Linked DNA regions of Lepisosteus oculatus. The protein of the gene in region 1 binds, or shares a complex with, the protein of each later gene. Links are inferred from orthologs where the notes say so. Each region holds a gene or a part of one and is shown in the gene's direction. Other genes may lie near its edges.

Region 1 (6,948 bases):
CAGGATGATCCAAAAGAGCTCGCTCGGGAAACGTGGATGACCGAACTCCCCCCTGAGTTGCAGCACTTTGGCCTCGGCCCCAGAACCTTTAAGAAGAGATCGGGACCGGAGTGTAAAGATCGCTCCCTGTGGACTGACACCCCAGCTGACAAGGAGAGGAAAGCCAGGGTGGGCTAACGAGTTTCCTTTCACTCAAGAGGGAAACGAGTAAAAGCAATTTAAAGTAACCGTGCCTTGTGCATAAACAAGCGAGAGATTACTGATCTGGGGAGCTCTTACATAGAGAGGTGTGGAAAATCAAATGAATATTACAAGTAATTGGTACTGCTTTTCTGCTTCTTATGGACTATTTTTGAAAGGGCCTGTAACTTATGGTCCCATGGTGTCCTTTCCCCATGACAAAGCCTTTGTCAGAATATTCCCTACACTCAGCTCACTGCATGACGGCTGAAAGGAAATCTAAATTCTCCTTTCCGTACTCATTACTCATTGCCGATGCAGTTACAGCATTCCAGTCTTTTAATATTTGTAGTTTAAGACATATCTGGCATTAATAGCTAATCATAGGCATATTGGTAGCTAATAAATCTATTTAAGGACATGTTTCTGGGAAAATTGTCCCAGTCTGTGAGAGTGTGTTTGTCTGGTACTGTGTCTGCCCTGCGAATGACTGGTATTCTGACCAGCATGTACCTTGGACAAGTGGATTAGAAAATGGATGGACGGAGATCTGTTAACACCACTGGAACCACGACTTCCTGTTGAAAACAATACAGCCCACCCCCACCAAAACTGCAGAGTCACATCACTGAACACCTTTGTAAAATGAACATTCGCATCATGTGTGTCGTGATCATTTCTTTTTCTCGGGTTTATCATTTAAAATGAGGAAGGCTCCTTGTGGTATCTTCTCCTTCTCATCTGTTACCTTTCTGGGGGTATTTTTTCCATAGGAGCGCCTGGAAGGGAAAAGGAGTCCGGAGAAGGAGGAGATCCCACAGCTGTCGGAGAGGGATCAGGAGATGGCGGAGAAGGTGTCCAAGTACAATGTAAGTACCTTAATAGCAAATCATCAGCTTGTCCAAAAAAAGTAAAAATCATAATTGCAGCTTAAGAGAGTTGATTTACCAGATCTTTTTTGATTTTGTATTCAGAGTAAGTTTTTCACTGTTATATTTAATACCAGATAGGTTTTTTTATAGAAAGCAACCCGAAGACATCCTGCTTACCTAACAGCTAAAAGGGCTTTGTAGAAATGACAATACATTTTCTCCACCACGTAAAACAGTACATGCTCTCCATAGGCTTGTCTTATCAAATACAGGCCAGTTGGTTATGGTGATACAGTTCTGTTGCATCTTAGATCTTATTAAAGTATGCCCTTGGAACTAGTTATTTACAGTATACACAGTTGGAAAGATGTTCATTTTTTCAGATTTGTCTTATCCAGAAAAAGAGACGCGTATCGAACATGGTCATGTTTTCTGTTATAGTATCCACTGGCTTTGTTACAGTAAGTGTGTTATTGTCACAAAGGGGGGAATACCATCCTGTACATACTAGTTAGCAAGAAAACCCTGTAAAATGTGTGGTTTCAATGAAGAAAATAAACCTCGCTATCATTGTGCTCCCCCCTCCCCTGCATGTTTATGAAGTAAAATGCGTTCTGTGGATTATCTGTGAAGCTAGGTTCTGATGCAGCTCTGCATTAAAATCAACCGCCTCTTCCCTAATAACACAGGATTCCAAGCGGTCCGAGTCTCTCCTCAACATGCACACAAAGAAGTTAAAGAGGAAGACGGAGGAGGAAGTCACAAAGCCCCAGGAGAGACGGCCTTTTGACAGGGACCAGGACCTGCAAGTGAATCGCTTTGACCAGGCCCAGAAGAAGGCTCTAATCAAGAAGTCTCAGGAACTCAACACCCGGTTCTCACATAGCAAAGGCACCATGTTCCTCTAGCTGTCTGCTCTGCTCCAGGCTGCAGGCCTGACTCGACCAGAACTGGTGTGCTCTATTTCCTTTAGGATGGAAGTATTAGTAGGAGTTAGAGGGATGTTGCAGACGATTAATTGGAGGGCAGAGTTTTACATGAAGATACCATATAAAATCATGTGTGATTTGTTTCTTGTGTGTAAGGGGGGTTTGTAAATTTGAATTCTGAAGAAGGTAGTTTGAACAAAAAGAGAGAGAATCTATTAGGGAAAGTCTTTGTGAGTTCCGTAGGTGGGAATAATGACTTTCAGACAGATTTTTAAAGACGGGTAGTATCAAATATCAGCCCTGTGGACATGATGTCGGATTTAGTTGTATCATCTTACTGAAATCTCTCTTTGCCAGATCTACGTTTGACCATTCACGAAACATGTTTATGTGTGTTCAGGCTTGTCCAGAAATGTCATCTGGAATTTGTTAGTGTAGAGCAGTGATCCAAACTTCTGATCTTGGTGAGCCACATGCCATGCTCTTCATGCTTTCCAGTCTACCAGAGCTCCTAATTATTTAATTTAATCCACTATTGATTTAATCAGTTAATATTACAGCTGTTAATTTTGTAATCAATGAAGAGTTTTGGAAGTTCCTTATAAAGCCCGCAGGGATGAGCAGTGCCTCTTCAGGACTAGGAGAGTGAGGACTCCTGATCTATACAATTTCTTAGGATTAATTCCAGTTCTACAAGGTTCTTGATTCATTATAGATCTGTGGGTAGCACATTGTTATTTGACTTTCAGAGTTTATTTTCTAAGAGAAGCTGTTTTACAAGCCATAACAGATCTGGATCATGCAAAGAGGACCATCTTTATATTTATTTTCTACTCCGAATCAAATGTTACGGAAGAAACCTTGCACAAGGTTTTCTGCTTCCCTCTTCACTTAACATTTTCATGTCAGGAAATCTAGCACAGCCTGATAGATTCTGAATCCAGTTGGGATAAGACGCACTGCAGTTCATCACAGGTTTGGAAAGAACACCACTGATTGCAGTGTAAAAAAAAGGCAAACTTCTGCAGTGACCAGGCCATTTTGGTCTTACATTAAATCCTAATGCATAAAGACCAAAACAGCAATTACTGTGAGAAAAAAATCTAATGTTTTTCAAATAAGGTATTGCCTGTTGTGGAGAAAAAAACCTATAAATATTGCATCACAGAACATTGTTAGTGTTTAATGTAAATATGTTTAAGTGGATTATTTTTCTGGGTAATTCTTTCAAAATAGCTATTTTAAGATGTTTAAGTGTACAATGTATTGTATCTTGAAATTATCCTTGAAATGCATTTCTGCTAGTTTCTATTAATACAATGAATGTAGTTTTTCAGTCCATCACATTTTACATGTTTTTTTAATTAAAAGTTTTTGAAAATGTGTCTTTAGTATTTATTTGAAAGTATGCTGTGCTTTTAAAATAATTGTAAATGACCTTAAGTCAGTTTAGAAAACCCGTTTTTGAAGTAGTTTGTGTCTGGAATTTTAAATGTAATGCTTTGCATTTGTTAAGGAGTTATTTACCAATATAGGGAAAACAGTGTTGTGAAACTATTTTTCCTTTTCTGAATATATATATAAAATTAAAAAATAAATTTGATTAACATTAGAAAAAATAGGATTTTGAATAAAACAGGTGTAAAATGTGGTAGTGTAACTAAATCTTAGTATGTACCCTTTAGTTAAGTATGAGCTTGCACCAGATTTGTATTAAGTTCCAAACTTAGCCAACAGATTTCGTAATTTTATTTACACATATAATACGTTCTTTAACCGTTAAGAGAACGATGTTATCAACTTCTTCCGAAATCACTGTAGTGAACCGCGTTTTGTAATGGTGAGTCATGAAGTTTGTTCCCTTAGGGCCGCCGTATTAGCGTGCGCAGTTGCACTAGTGTTTGTGTTCTGAGACGTAGTGCACGAACAAAAACCGAATGGTGGCTTGTGTGACAAATACTGTATAATATAATAGTAATAATAACAACCACTATAATAATGTCTGAGAAGGGAGAAGTCGATTTAACAGGAGCCAAACAAAATACTGGCGTTTGGTTGGTAAAGGTAAGCTTTTCGGGAACCCAGACGTTTGAAAATGTTTTTTTATTTGTCTGGTTGGCTACTGATACAGGCATCGGGTCGCAAAAAGTTAAATCCCTTAAAGACACGAAATGAAAATTGTAGTTAGCCTGGTAATAAAGCCGTGTGCAGTGCTTCAGATGTGACATAAAAATTTGAATTACATTAATTTCATAAGAATATCCACATTCTTCCACTCCCTTCTGTGTGTTTTATCATTTAAAAGTGTGTCTCCTGTCTTTTGGGAAATTAGTTCAGCTGTTATTGTATTCTGTTCGTGCAGCGTGGGTAGAGATCGCGGGGTGGAGAAAGTCTCAATATTTTACCCTGTAAGCAGGCCTCCTTAGCTGTGGGGGAAAAAAGACATCGACCCTAAGCAGTTTAATGTGATGAAAACGAAGTACACGCCAGAATTGATGAATGATTCGTTTTTATGCCAAGAAAGATGATCTAATCACATCAGTGACTGTATATGGATGTCGTTCACTTAATGGGAATCGTGGAAAAATGCTTTAATGAAAGTTTTACCTAAAATGAAGTAAAAGGTCTGCCTACCCACTCATTGTAGTGTGTAATGGGGCGTGTGACCCAGTCTCTTGTTAGAGATGTTAAATTAAATGGCCAAAGGTTTGTCTTGAGAGAGAAAAGATATAGAGATATTTTCTAATCTTCTTCCTTACAGGTTCCAAAGTACCTTTCACAGCAGTGGGCCAAAGCAACAGGCAGGGGTGAAGTGGGAAAGCTCAAAATTTGCAAGTGAGTGCACCTGTTTCACCCATGTAGTAATTTTGTAAGGCACTTAAAGCACTAGACTTCCTTGTGCCCAGATCTCTGCACGAGCAAGAGCAGTGTGGACTTTTACTTTGATTGAAAATTCAGCTGTTTACAAACACTTCCAATTAATTCACATTGCTCAATGTTGCTAGCTTCACGCTACTCTTTAGCGAGGCTGGGCCTGGGTGCTACTTTAAGCGCTGTTGCTCGACCAGGCGGTGGTGTTATTGCCCCACCAAATCAAAATTTCCCAACCATTGTCCCAGTACAGTGACTGGCAACACTGCGCTATAAGATGTGCTGTCCCTCAGCTAGAGACTTCCTGACTAGCCCAGAGACACCCCTTGGCACATTGGAGTTGGGGTGTTACTCTGGTGTTCTGGATAAAGTTCACTTTAGGCTTGTTCAAGCTGGCCTCCTTAACATTCTCCCCATAATTCAAGTTCACTTAGTGTTTCCTCACTTCTCTGCTGTTTAGAGGGGCTGCTGGCACAAAATGGCCCCCATGTGTTGCCCAGTCAGGTGCTGCACTGGAGCTGTGGATGATGTTTCGCTTGATATGTGTGTAGCACTTTGGGATGAAAACTGCAATACAAATGCAAGCAGCTATGTAAATCCCACCTTTATCTTTAGAGGTTTATGCAGTGGTAGGCTTCTGTTTTTATGTTCTATGGTTTAGAAAATAGTTATGACTGTTTTGGTTGGATATACTGCAGGCCTGTTCAGTCCTGGTTCTGGAAGGTCACTGTGTCTGTACGTTTTCTAGTTTGTTTTAAAGCTGTAGTACTCCAATCATGCCAGTCTCTACAGACAATCTGACCCTCTAGGAAAGACTGGGCAGCCCTGATATTTTGTAACTTCATCAAAGTAACACCCATCTTTTTTTTTTTTTGGAGTTACGCAATGTTAGAAATGATAGGATCATTTTATCCATTCAACACTTGTTCATGACACATTGCATGCATGAGTCCCTGCCAAAAGAGTTGGAGTGTGGAGTAGATCCAGATATTATCCAGACATCATATATACAGTCATTCTAATGATTACAGTATTATACTTGGGGCGGAGCAGTGCCTCTGTGGCTAAGGATCTGCGCCTGTGGCTAGAAGATTGCCGGTTCAAATCCCGAGCCGGCAGAGGAATCCTACTCCGTTGGGCTCCTGAGCAAGGCCCTTAACCCCAACTGCTCCAGGGGCGCTGTACAATGGCAGACTCTCTCCCTATCTGTGTGTCTGTGTGTCTCATGGAGAGCAAGCTGGGGTATGTGAAAAGATAATTCCTAATGCAAGAAATTGTAAAGGGTTAATAAAGTGATGTTATTATTAATAGGTGGTCAGCAGGGTGCATATTAACTTTCACAGACAAACCATTTGTATTTCTTCATAAAGAAGTACTTTAATGTACATTAATAGAACTTGTTAACACATTTTTCTTCTTTTTTTAAAAAGGAATCAGGGAAAAGCAGAGGTAAGCATGACGTCTAATTAAAAAAGTGATAACTGCCATTATGTAAGAATCGCTTTAGTGCTGGAGGTGTTCTGTGTGCCACTGGGTGTCAGTGTTGCAGGATGACATTTTATATCCTCTCTGTTTTTTCCATTTTATTGATAATATTGCAGTTTAGCAACACGTACGTCCAGATGGGATTTGCATTTATCTGGTAACTGTGTAAAATTTCACTTCAGCTTGAGTGTTTCTGGGGCATTTGTCCTGTTTGAACAGTTTTGATTCTGGCATGTTGCAGTTTTGTGAATCATGTTTCATCTTTCACAGACATGGTGATCCTTGACCAATTTAGTGTAAATGAGCATGGGTTGAGCTTGAAGCTTTCTTGGTGCCCCTCGATAATAAACCCAATAGTGTGCTGAAGCAGATCAAGAGAATGCACCCCAGAATCTATTTTGCTTTTCTTCTGTGGTGACCTCCAATGGGTTAGGATTGTGATTAAATGTAGATTTAATTGACTACAGCATAACACTGGAATTAATTTTAGGGTTTAGTGAAATAGCTTGTAGTGGAGCTGTGGCAATATTACTGCAGTGGTGTTTGAACTCGGGGTTGGATTATAATTAACATTACCTTTTGGTGGGTTTGCTCATATTCCCCAAAAGTTT
Region 2 (7,888 bases), on another chromosome or scaffold:
CTTTAATACTATAAACTAAAACATTCATTTTCCCCAAATTTAATTGCTACAGCAAAGATAAGAGTTGTGCTTTAAAAGTTTTCTGTTTTGGTTTCCTACTGTTCACACGCACTTACCCCAAGAAGTGTATTCCCAGCATGCTTTTGGTAAATGTCATCTGCTTTCTCCCCACTGGTGATGTGAACTGGCAGGAGATTGGAGGCGACAATCGAGAGCCAACAAGATCTCTCGCCCTAAGGCAAGAAGAGCCTTTAAAGTGAAACAGGCTACCACTCATGGAGTGCACAAGAATCTTAATGGCACCACTCATGCCTAAAATATTTTTTTATCTCCTTTGAATCTCATTGTTGCATCTCATTTGAAAAAAAATATTAAATCTCTCTTAAATCATTTGCCACAGACTGCTTTGCAGATTTATACAGCAGTTAACAATCCTGTACAGCAACAGTAGACCTCAAGAGTACAAAAAAAGGGAAAACAAAAAATTCCTGTGGGAGCAAATAGACCTCTGGGGTCCCAGTTCTCCTCCAGGCGATGTGTTTGTGGTACTTTTATTACGAAAAAATCTGTACAGATACCTATTGAATAATCAAGCAAAATCTGTATGTAATATTGGTAATATTGCAATATTACATCCAAAATCAGCATGTAATATTGCAAACTACCATTATTTGCCTCAATTATCCTTTTGGCACTTTTAACTTCACTGAAATCGTAATCCACTATTGTCACTTGCGTTTATTTTACATCACAACATTTAACACAACTGCATTTAAAGTGTCACTTATGTCCATGCTGAATTGGGGAACATACTCTAAAAACAGTTAACAAACATTTTACTTTTTAGTCCATGTATGACACCATGGGCACAAAACCAAATGGTCATGACCTCTACAATTTACCCACCTTAAGGAAATCTATGCGCACTAGGGCGCCCAAAAAGAGCACCATTCCCGGCTTCAGCACAAACGTCCTGGGCACAATGGCTTGAGTTGGTACCACCATCTTCAACTCTTCATCTGTGAGCTGACTGAGAACCTGCAAAATGCAAAGAGATTAAATAGCAGAACTGCTTATTTCAATAGGCTTTCAAACATGGGCACACAGTATACACAGCGCCCTGTTACAAACACTTTACACGTGTCTGCATTAAATGCTGTCTGCCATTTGTTAAAGTTTGCCTTGATCTTTTACAGATTGTTTTTAATCCTCATCCTCCTATTTTGGTGTCATCTGTGAACGTGACTAGTTAATAACCTAATCCCATTAAGATCATTAATATAAATTAAAAATTGATTTAGAGGAGTGGTCCTAACACAGAGACTTGTGGTACTTCAGAAATAACATCACCCAGTTTTGAGCATTTAACCCTTCACTGTTTTCTATGCATTAGGCAGTTCTCAATCCAAATCCATACAGTAGCTTGACTCCCTACTACCTATTGAGAATGAATCTTTTATCAACAGCCTTTGGAAAATCAAAATATACTCTGTTTGTATCCATTACTTCTGTTGCTTGTTTAAAGCTATGCAAAGAGCTACCCTTCCTACTTCCATGTTGACCTTGCTCAAGAAATCCACTGCTGTACAACTGAGCCACTAGTTCTAATTTCCAAACCCCTGCAAGTTCATAGTGTCTGAGAGCTATAACGCGTTGCCTGGTGTTCTGGATGACTACAAGAAAGAAGTCTGTACGTGGGTCTGATAGAGGCGACCTCTATGGGCACATATAAGGTTCTGAGGGGCATCTACATGGAAAAGGGAGCTGGAGTCAGTGTAGGACAATCAGTTTCCTCTGGGAAATAATCAAGCTTATCAGTACTAAAGCTTCCCATGTCTGCCTGGAATAAAAACAACTACAAGATGGCACATTTTAACTAATAGGGATAGCAATAACTGACCATGGGCACCAGCAGACAGTAAGTGTTTCAGTCAGAGAAGAGCTCTACATCTGACATGATGCTGCACTCATGACTCATGTCTGATTCAATATATTAGGTGCATGTAGTAATTATTCTGCAGCTAAGCACAAAGATTGCATTGGCTAAACGTACAATACGTTTTAGCAAAAGCACTCACACAGTGTTCTTTCATAATTCCCGGGGTGTCATACAGCCAATGCGCATCTTTGAGCTCGTTGTGGGTGAACTCCACTGGGTTGGAAAGAGCTGATTTTTTACTCATTCTGTCTTCTTCCTCCTCTCCCACACTGAGACTTTCTAGATCAAAATCCACAACATCCATATCTTTCTGCGCCTGGACAGCCGAGCCAAAAGATCTGCCAACTCGCCCTGAAATGAACAGGGAAGACAAATTCCTTGTCAACCGTGCAAGTGTGGCAACTCCACCCCCACAGGAAGTCTTTCATTGGGCTCTTGAAGAAATCAGGGTCATGGAGGAACAGGAATAGGTTTATTATTATAATTATGGGCTTGAAACCAGGCTGTGTTAAGGTACCAGATGCTGGAATGTAAGTTAAAGTGAGGACTGAGAGTTAAGGGGAGCATAGGGTTAGAGTTAAGAGTTTCACTGTGTCATTTAAGTTAGGGTTAAGGGGAAGTTTAGATTTAGTCACAGGGTTTTTATTCTGTCTCCTTTTAATTTATTCAGGCCTGAACAAATGTTGATCTGGTACTGTCATAGAAGTCAGAACTCTTACCTACTAAATATCCCTGCTTGCTGAGCTGCTGCAGTCGTCTTAACTCCTGTGGGCTCAGGTCCTTCTCTGACTGAGAGCCATCACTCTTCAGTCTCTCAGACCTCTTGAACATGCGATATGGAGTGGGGTTGATGATTGGGAACTTCAGGAGATTTAGTGTGGTGCCTCATGAAGAACAGATAGGTTAGTGTCTGCTTCCATCTGCAACAACCTAAAATATGACCACCTAACATGGGATAAATTTAGGTTTTGACAGATGGAAAACAATACTTTTCATACACTGAGCTGAGGGAATAGCGAAAGGTATTTCTTCCTCAATCATCAAAACATCTAGTGATTTAGACTGAGGTTTATTACACTGTTCATACAAAGACTTCACATAAACATATCCTAATAACTTGAACTTGGCACTGCAAGGCCTTTACTTAGACATATGGGCAGTTTCTCTGCAAATCATGCTAAACCTCACTGCATTATATAGTGCCTTCATAGGCTTCTACGACGAAAGAGAGCGGGTCTTCACTTTGCACTGGCCTGCAGCCTGGCAAATGTACAGTAATAATTACCTGGCCATCGAGATATGGTAGCTTTCTGAATCACATCTGGAGCTTTCGACTTGCAGTAGTCTGACTCCAGCAGGGTGTTAAACAGTGTAGACTTTCCAGCATTTGCTGTTCCAACCAAATACACATCTCCTTTATATTTCCACGATCTTTGAAGACTCGAAATTAGGTTTTCTATCCCATAGCCGGTCTTGGCGCTGATGAGATGGACGTCTTTGGTGCCATCGCCTAAAGTAATACCTGCGTCAACACAATATGCAAAAAGCTGACGTTTAATTCGTTTTAAATAGCAATCCGAATCGCCAGGTAGCAGATCTATTTTATTTCCCAGAACCACTATGGTTTTATTTTTGCCCACTAGTTCTAACAGATCTGGAATGATAGAATCGGGAATATCCAGAAGGTCCACAATGAACAATACCAAAGCTTTTTCTTGGCGTATCCGACTAACAACATTCCGATATTCTTCTTTCGAAACCTGAATATTTAAAGACTTTTGGTGATGGACAAGCAAGAAACATCGCTGACACACCGCTCTGTCCATCTTGTCCTCCTTTATTAGCTGTTTGTATTTCTCACTGGGTACATAACCGGGCAAAATCGGGTCAGTGCAATGCATACGAGCACCGCATCCCGAACAGCTGTTGTCACTAAAAGGAATCTCCTTATCTGGAGTGCCGTATATTTTTTGAGATTTTTTCCTTTTAGAAGTTAATTTAGGAAGGGGGAAGCCAGCGTCATGAAATTCTATATCCATTTCTTGTACGTCCTGGTCCTGGTCTAACACTGTATCTTCTAATAACCGCATCTGTATTTCCAAAGCTCTGTGATACACCTCTGTACACGACTTTCGCGATGCGTTTCTCTCTTTATTGGCCACAGACCCCATCTGCGAAGGGGGTTTGAAAGAAACCCCATCATCGTTCTCTTCCTCTAGGTTGGAGTAGTCTAGAAAGACGAATTCTTCTTCTTTTTCTGGTTCAATCGATGTGTAAGAGTTTCCAAGACGTCCCTGCTTTCCGCTGTCGCCGATTGCCGCTTGCGTTGTGCTGTAACAGCGGGCCACTGACGTCCACGTGTCTTCCAAGCAGAAGATCTTAAAAGTTGGCACTTTTCTACAGAGTCCTGGACAATTGCGTAGAATAGATGAACAGCGATTACCTTGTCTGTCCCCCAAAGTTGGTAAAAATACAGGAAACACATTCCGGGCGCAATAACAAGCAGGAGCACATTGCTTTAGTCGGTATAACCTCTGCATTTTTAATATAATTAAAAAAGAAATTATACTTGAAATATTTTTTTAAAGGTTACGTTTTTTCTTCTTAGTTGAACCTTGAATGGCAAATAATAACATACACATGTGGTGCGTCTAGGAGTCTTCCATTTTTAGTACTCTGACTCCTGTGACGTATATGATTACCACATCAAACCATCCGAAATTATTATTAATAATTATTATCACGATTCTCTTTGTATTATTATTGAGAATATCAATTACAATTAACATATTTCTGGTGGTTCAATTATTTTAAAATGTTTCGTTTGACGTCACGAAAGCCTGCAGGAAGTGACGTATACACCATCGATATCTCGTACTGTTGTGTTCAGGTGGTGTGGATGGAAGTAGAGGGTTATAGCGCACTTATTTTTAATTCAACGTATTTGTAAGTGTTTTTTTTTCTTTTGGAGTCAATAAAGGAAGTACCTTCAATCCAATATGTATGATCAAGATGAAGGTAGGTATCTGGTTTGTTTAGTTCTTTTTTTAAACAATATTTTGAACATGGCGTCAGGGTACGTTCTTTGATTTTTGGTCTGTATTGTACAGAGGTGTCTTATAAATGCAAAATGAATTGTGCCATTAACTCTGACACGTTTAACGACATCTGTTATTTAGATTTTGTGCATCCTGAAGTTTGTTTTAGAAATATTGTGCTTCGTTTTCAACATTCTCAGTCTAAACCGTTCGTATTTACAGTCACTTTCAGCACATGAGTTCTAAATTTGTATTTTGAAATGCATTCAACAGGCGAGAGCTTTACATCCAAATAGGGAAGGTGATTTTCCAAAAAGCTTTTGGCATTTCAGTTTTATCAAGAAACGCCAGAAAATGAAATCGGAGGAACGGTAATTAGTTCATGGTGGTTCTAACATCTCATTTTGCGTACCACTGTCCTTAGGAATTAAAAACGTGGCCTTTTCTTTAATGTTCGAAAAGGTTGCAGAGTAGCAAACGTTATAAAAGTCAATTTCGGTGAAGTTAACAGATGCCTCCTGATGTATTAGTCTAAGTTCTGTCTTTCGACAAACAATCACACTCGTGTCGCCATTGTAACAAAGCTGCTTCAGAGAGGGCAGGTTATTGAGGAGAATAAAGATTTTTTGCTCCTTTTATCCTTGATCATGCCTTTAGGAAGTGGAATGAAGCAAAGTGCCTGGAGAAAATTCATATGTGTACATGCAGTGCGATCAACTCTGCATAGGCGGCACGCTGTCTCCAGAGCTGTGAGATAGCAGGTCCAAGTACCATGTCTCTTGAAAAGCTTTTTACCACGCATGTAGTGTAAAAACAGTTTCTGTGAAAATCAAATGCATTAAGGGCCATCTTACCTTTCTTTGTTAGTTTCATATGCAGCAAGCTTTCTTCCTGTAGAAGGTAACTGCCTGTGAATAATACTTTTTTAGGGGGAAGTCCAAAGAGAGCATAATATTTTATGTGGATGGGGCTCCCTTAATATTACAATTCTGTGGTCTTGTTTAGATATTCAGTATGATGAAGATGACGATGAGATCACTCCAGACTTGTGGCAGGAAGCCTGCTGGATTGTCATCAGGTGAGCAGCCTAAAAAATATAACATATTAACCACCTTCACCTTTTAGGGTTATCTTTTGATTTTATTGATCTTATTTTTGACTTAATACTCACATTTCAACATTCTTCTGTGCTGTAAAAGTCCAGCCCTGGTCCCAGTGACGTACAACCCAGCAGATTTTGAATGTCACCATTAGTTTTCCTACAAACAATTGTAAAGACTTGAGAACTGAAATGAATAATTTCAGTTTTGTTCATTTTTTAAAGCTACACAGTTTAAAGGTTGGTCATTCCTGATTTAGTTGAACCAGTTACCTGACTAAACTGATCACAGTCCACATGTTGCAGGTCCTTACAAAGATATAATTTAAGGATGACCTATAAGACCTACTTGATTGTGGCTCTCCACTGCAAAAGTTGAACTGTTTTTCATTTTGTTTTAAGTGTGTCCCCTTATATATTCATATATATGTTTGTCTGTTTATGTCCAGTCAAGTTCTATCCTGCTTTTTTAAAAAAGCACATTTTTTTTCTGATACAGATATACAAAGTTAAAAACATTTCTGGTAAAGGGTTTCACAGATTTGGCTGTAATGAATCAGAATGTATTTAAAGTTCTAAAACAGAAGGAAATGTTGGGCTTTAATGAAGATAGTCTATAGTTCACTGTCATTCTTAACATTGCAAGCTGCAGTTTGTCTGATGCAGTCAGCATTCTTCCTTTCTGTGCAGTTATTCTGACCTATATCTATAGAAGCAGTAGTGATCATCTCCTGTAATGCAGATCTTCAAAGCAAATTCAGCCCAGGTTTTTTTCCACATTTGGGGCACAAAGGGGGAGAATGGTATTAGTAATGGATGGCCTGTTCTTGTCTTCGTAGTTCTTATTTTGATGAAAAGGGTTTGGTGAGGCAGCAGCTGGACTCTTTCGATGAGTTCATCCAGATGTCAGTACAGAGGATTGTGGAGGATGCCCCACCCATCGACCTGCAGGCTGAGGCCCAGCACACCTCTGGAGAAGTGGAGGAGCCCGTGAGTCTCTCGACGGCTTGAAAAGATTTTTCCGGCATGTGACCCCAAGCAGTCTGAAAGTGTAGTGATATGTATTGATGCACAGATACGTCTGATTAATTGGTGCAGGGGGCGGTTTGCCCACAGTAGGGGCGATTTCTGTGAAATCAATGGGTGGATTTTGCATGTTTATCACCTCTTGTCATCTTTTCGTTCTAGCCACGTTACCTGCTGAAGTTTGAGCAGATTTATCTTTCCAAACCTACGCACTGGGAGAGAGATGGAGCTCCTTCTCCTATGATGCCAAATGAAGCTAGACTCCGAAATCTTACGTAAGTTGAGCTTTACATTGTTGTGTTGCTCCCTATTCTGATGCGATCCCCCACATTGTTTAGTTTTGTCCATTGCTGTTGCAGAAATGTGCTTCACACCAGGGTTTTTTTGAGAGCTAGAGCAGCATTGTGCAGCAGGGGTTAGGTCTCTGAAACTGGAAGGTTAAACTCCAGCTGAGACAGTGCTGTTTGTACCTTTGACCAAAGGAATTCACCTGAAGTACTCCAATAACAATACCTGGCTTTGATATTTTTCCATTTTAAAATAAAGTTGGACACTGGGCTCCTCATTTCTGGTCTACCTTCTAAAATAACGTTTCTCCCATCACAATATCAATTTCTGGATAATTTATTTCTCTTATTAAGGGAATGTATTTTAACCAACTGGTTTAAGAAAAACACCCTCTGTTACATTTTGGTATGGTGAATGTTGTAGTGTACTGCCCTATGGAAGGCTTAGTGCAGTTTCCATAGGAGAACAGAAGATCATAAACTATGGTCACCTGTTACA

The links. The genes of interacting proteins can lie anywhere in the genome.
Region 2: general transcription factor IIF subunit 2 (region 1) and polr2b share a complex: the UniProt entries of both Homo sapiens proteins name them as parts of the TBP-based Pol II pre-initiation complex. The link is inferred for Lepisosteus oculatus from reciprocal best matches to the Homo sapiens genes GTF2F2 and POLR2B.

What each region holds. Positions count from the first base shown.
Region 1 is NC_090710.1:16,201,768-16,208,715, reverse strand, and holds the start of general transcription factor IIF subunit 2, read left to right. Parts: upstream 1-3,895; 5' UTR 3,896-3,979; coding exon 3,980-4,045; intron 4,046-4,742; coding exon 4,743-4,816; intron 4,817-6,282; coding exon 6,283-6,301; intron 6,302-6,948. Other genes in the region: gpalpp1 (GPALPP motifs-containing protein 1), read left to right, coding at 4-168, 954-1,049, 1,742-1,960. UniProt on the Homo sapiens protein: TFIIF is a general transcription initiation factor that binds to RNA polymerase II and helps to recruit it to the initiation complex in collaboration with TFIIB.
Region 2 is NC_090696.1:33,268,428-33,276,315, reverse strand, and holds the start of polr2b (DNA-directed RNA polymerase II subunit RPB2), read left to right. Parts: upstream 1-4,807; 5' UTR 4,808-4,938; coding exon 4,939-4,957; intron 4,958-5,982; coding exon 5,983-6,055; intron 6,056-6,915; coding exon 6,916-7,066; intron 7,067-7,264; coding exon 7,265-7,377; intron 7,378-7,888. Other genes in the region: noa1 (nitric oxide-associated protein 1), read right to left, coding at 117-233, 907-1,038, 2,079-2,290, 2,659-2,823, 3,225-4,479. UniProt on the Homo sapiens protein: Catalytic core component of RNA polymerase II (Pol II), a DNA-dependent RNA polymerase which synthesizes mRNA precursors and many functional non-coding RNAs using the four ribonucleoside triphosphates as substrates.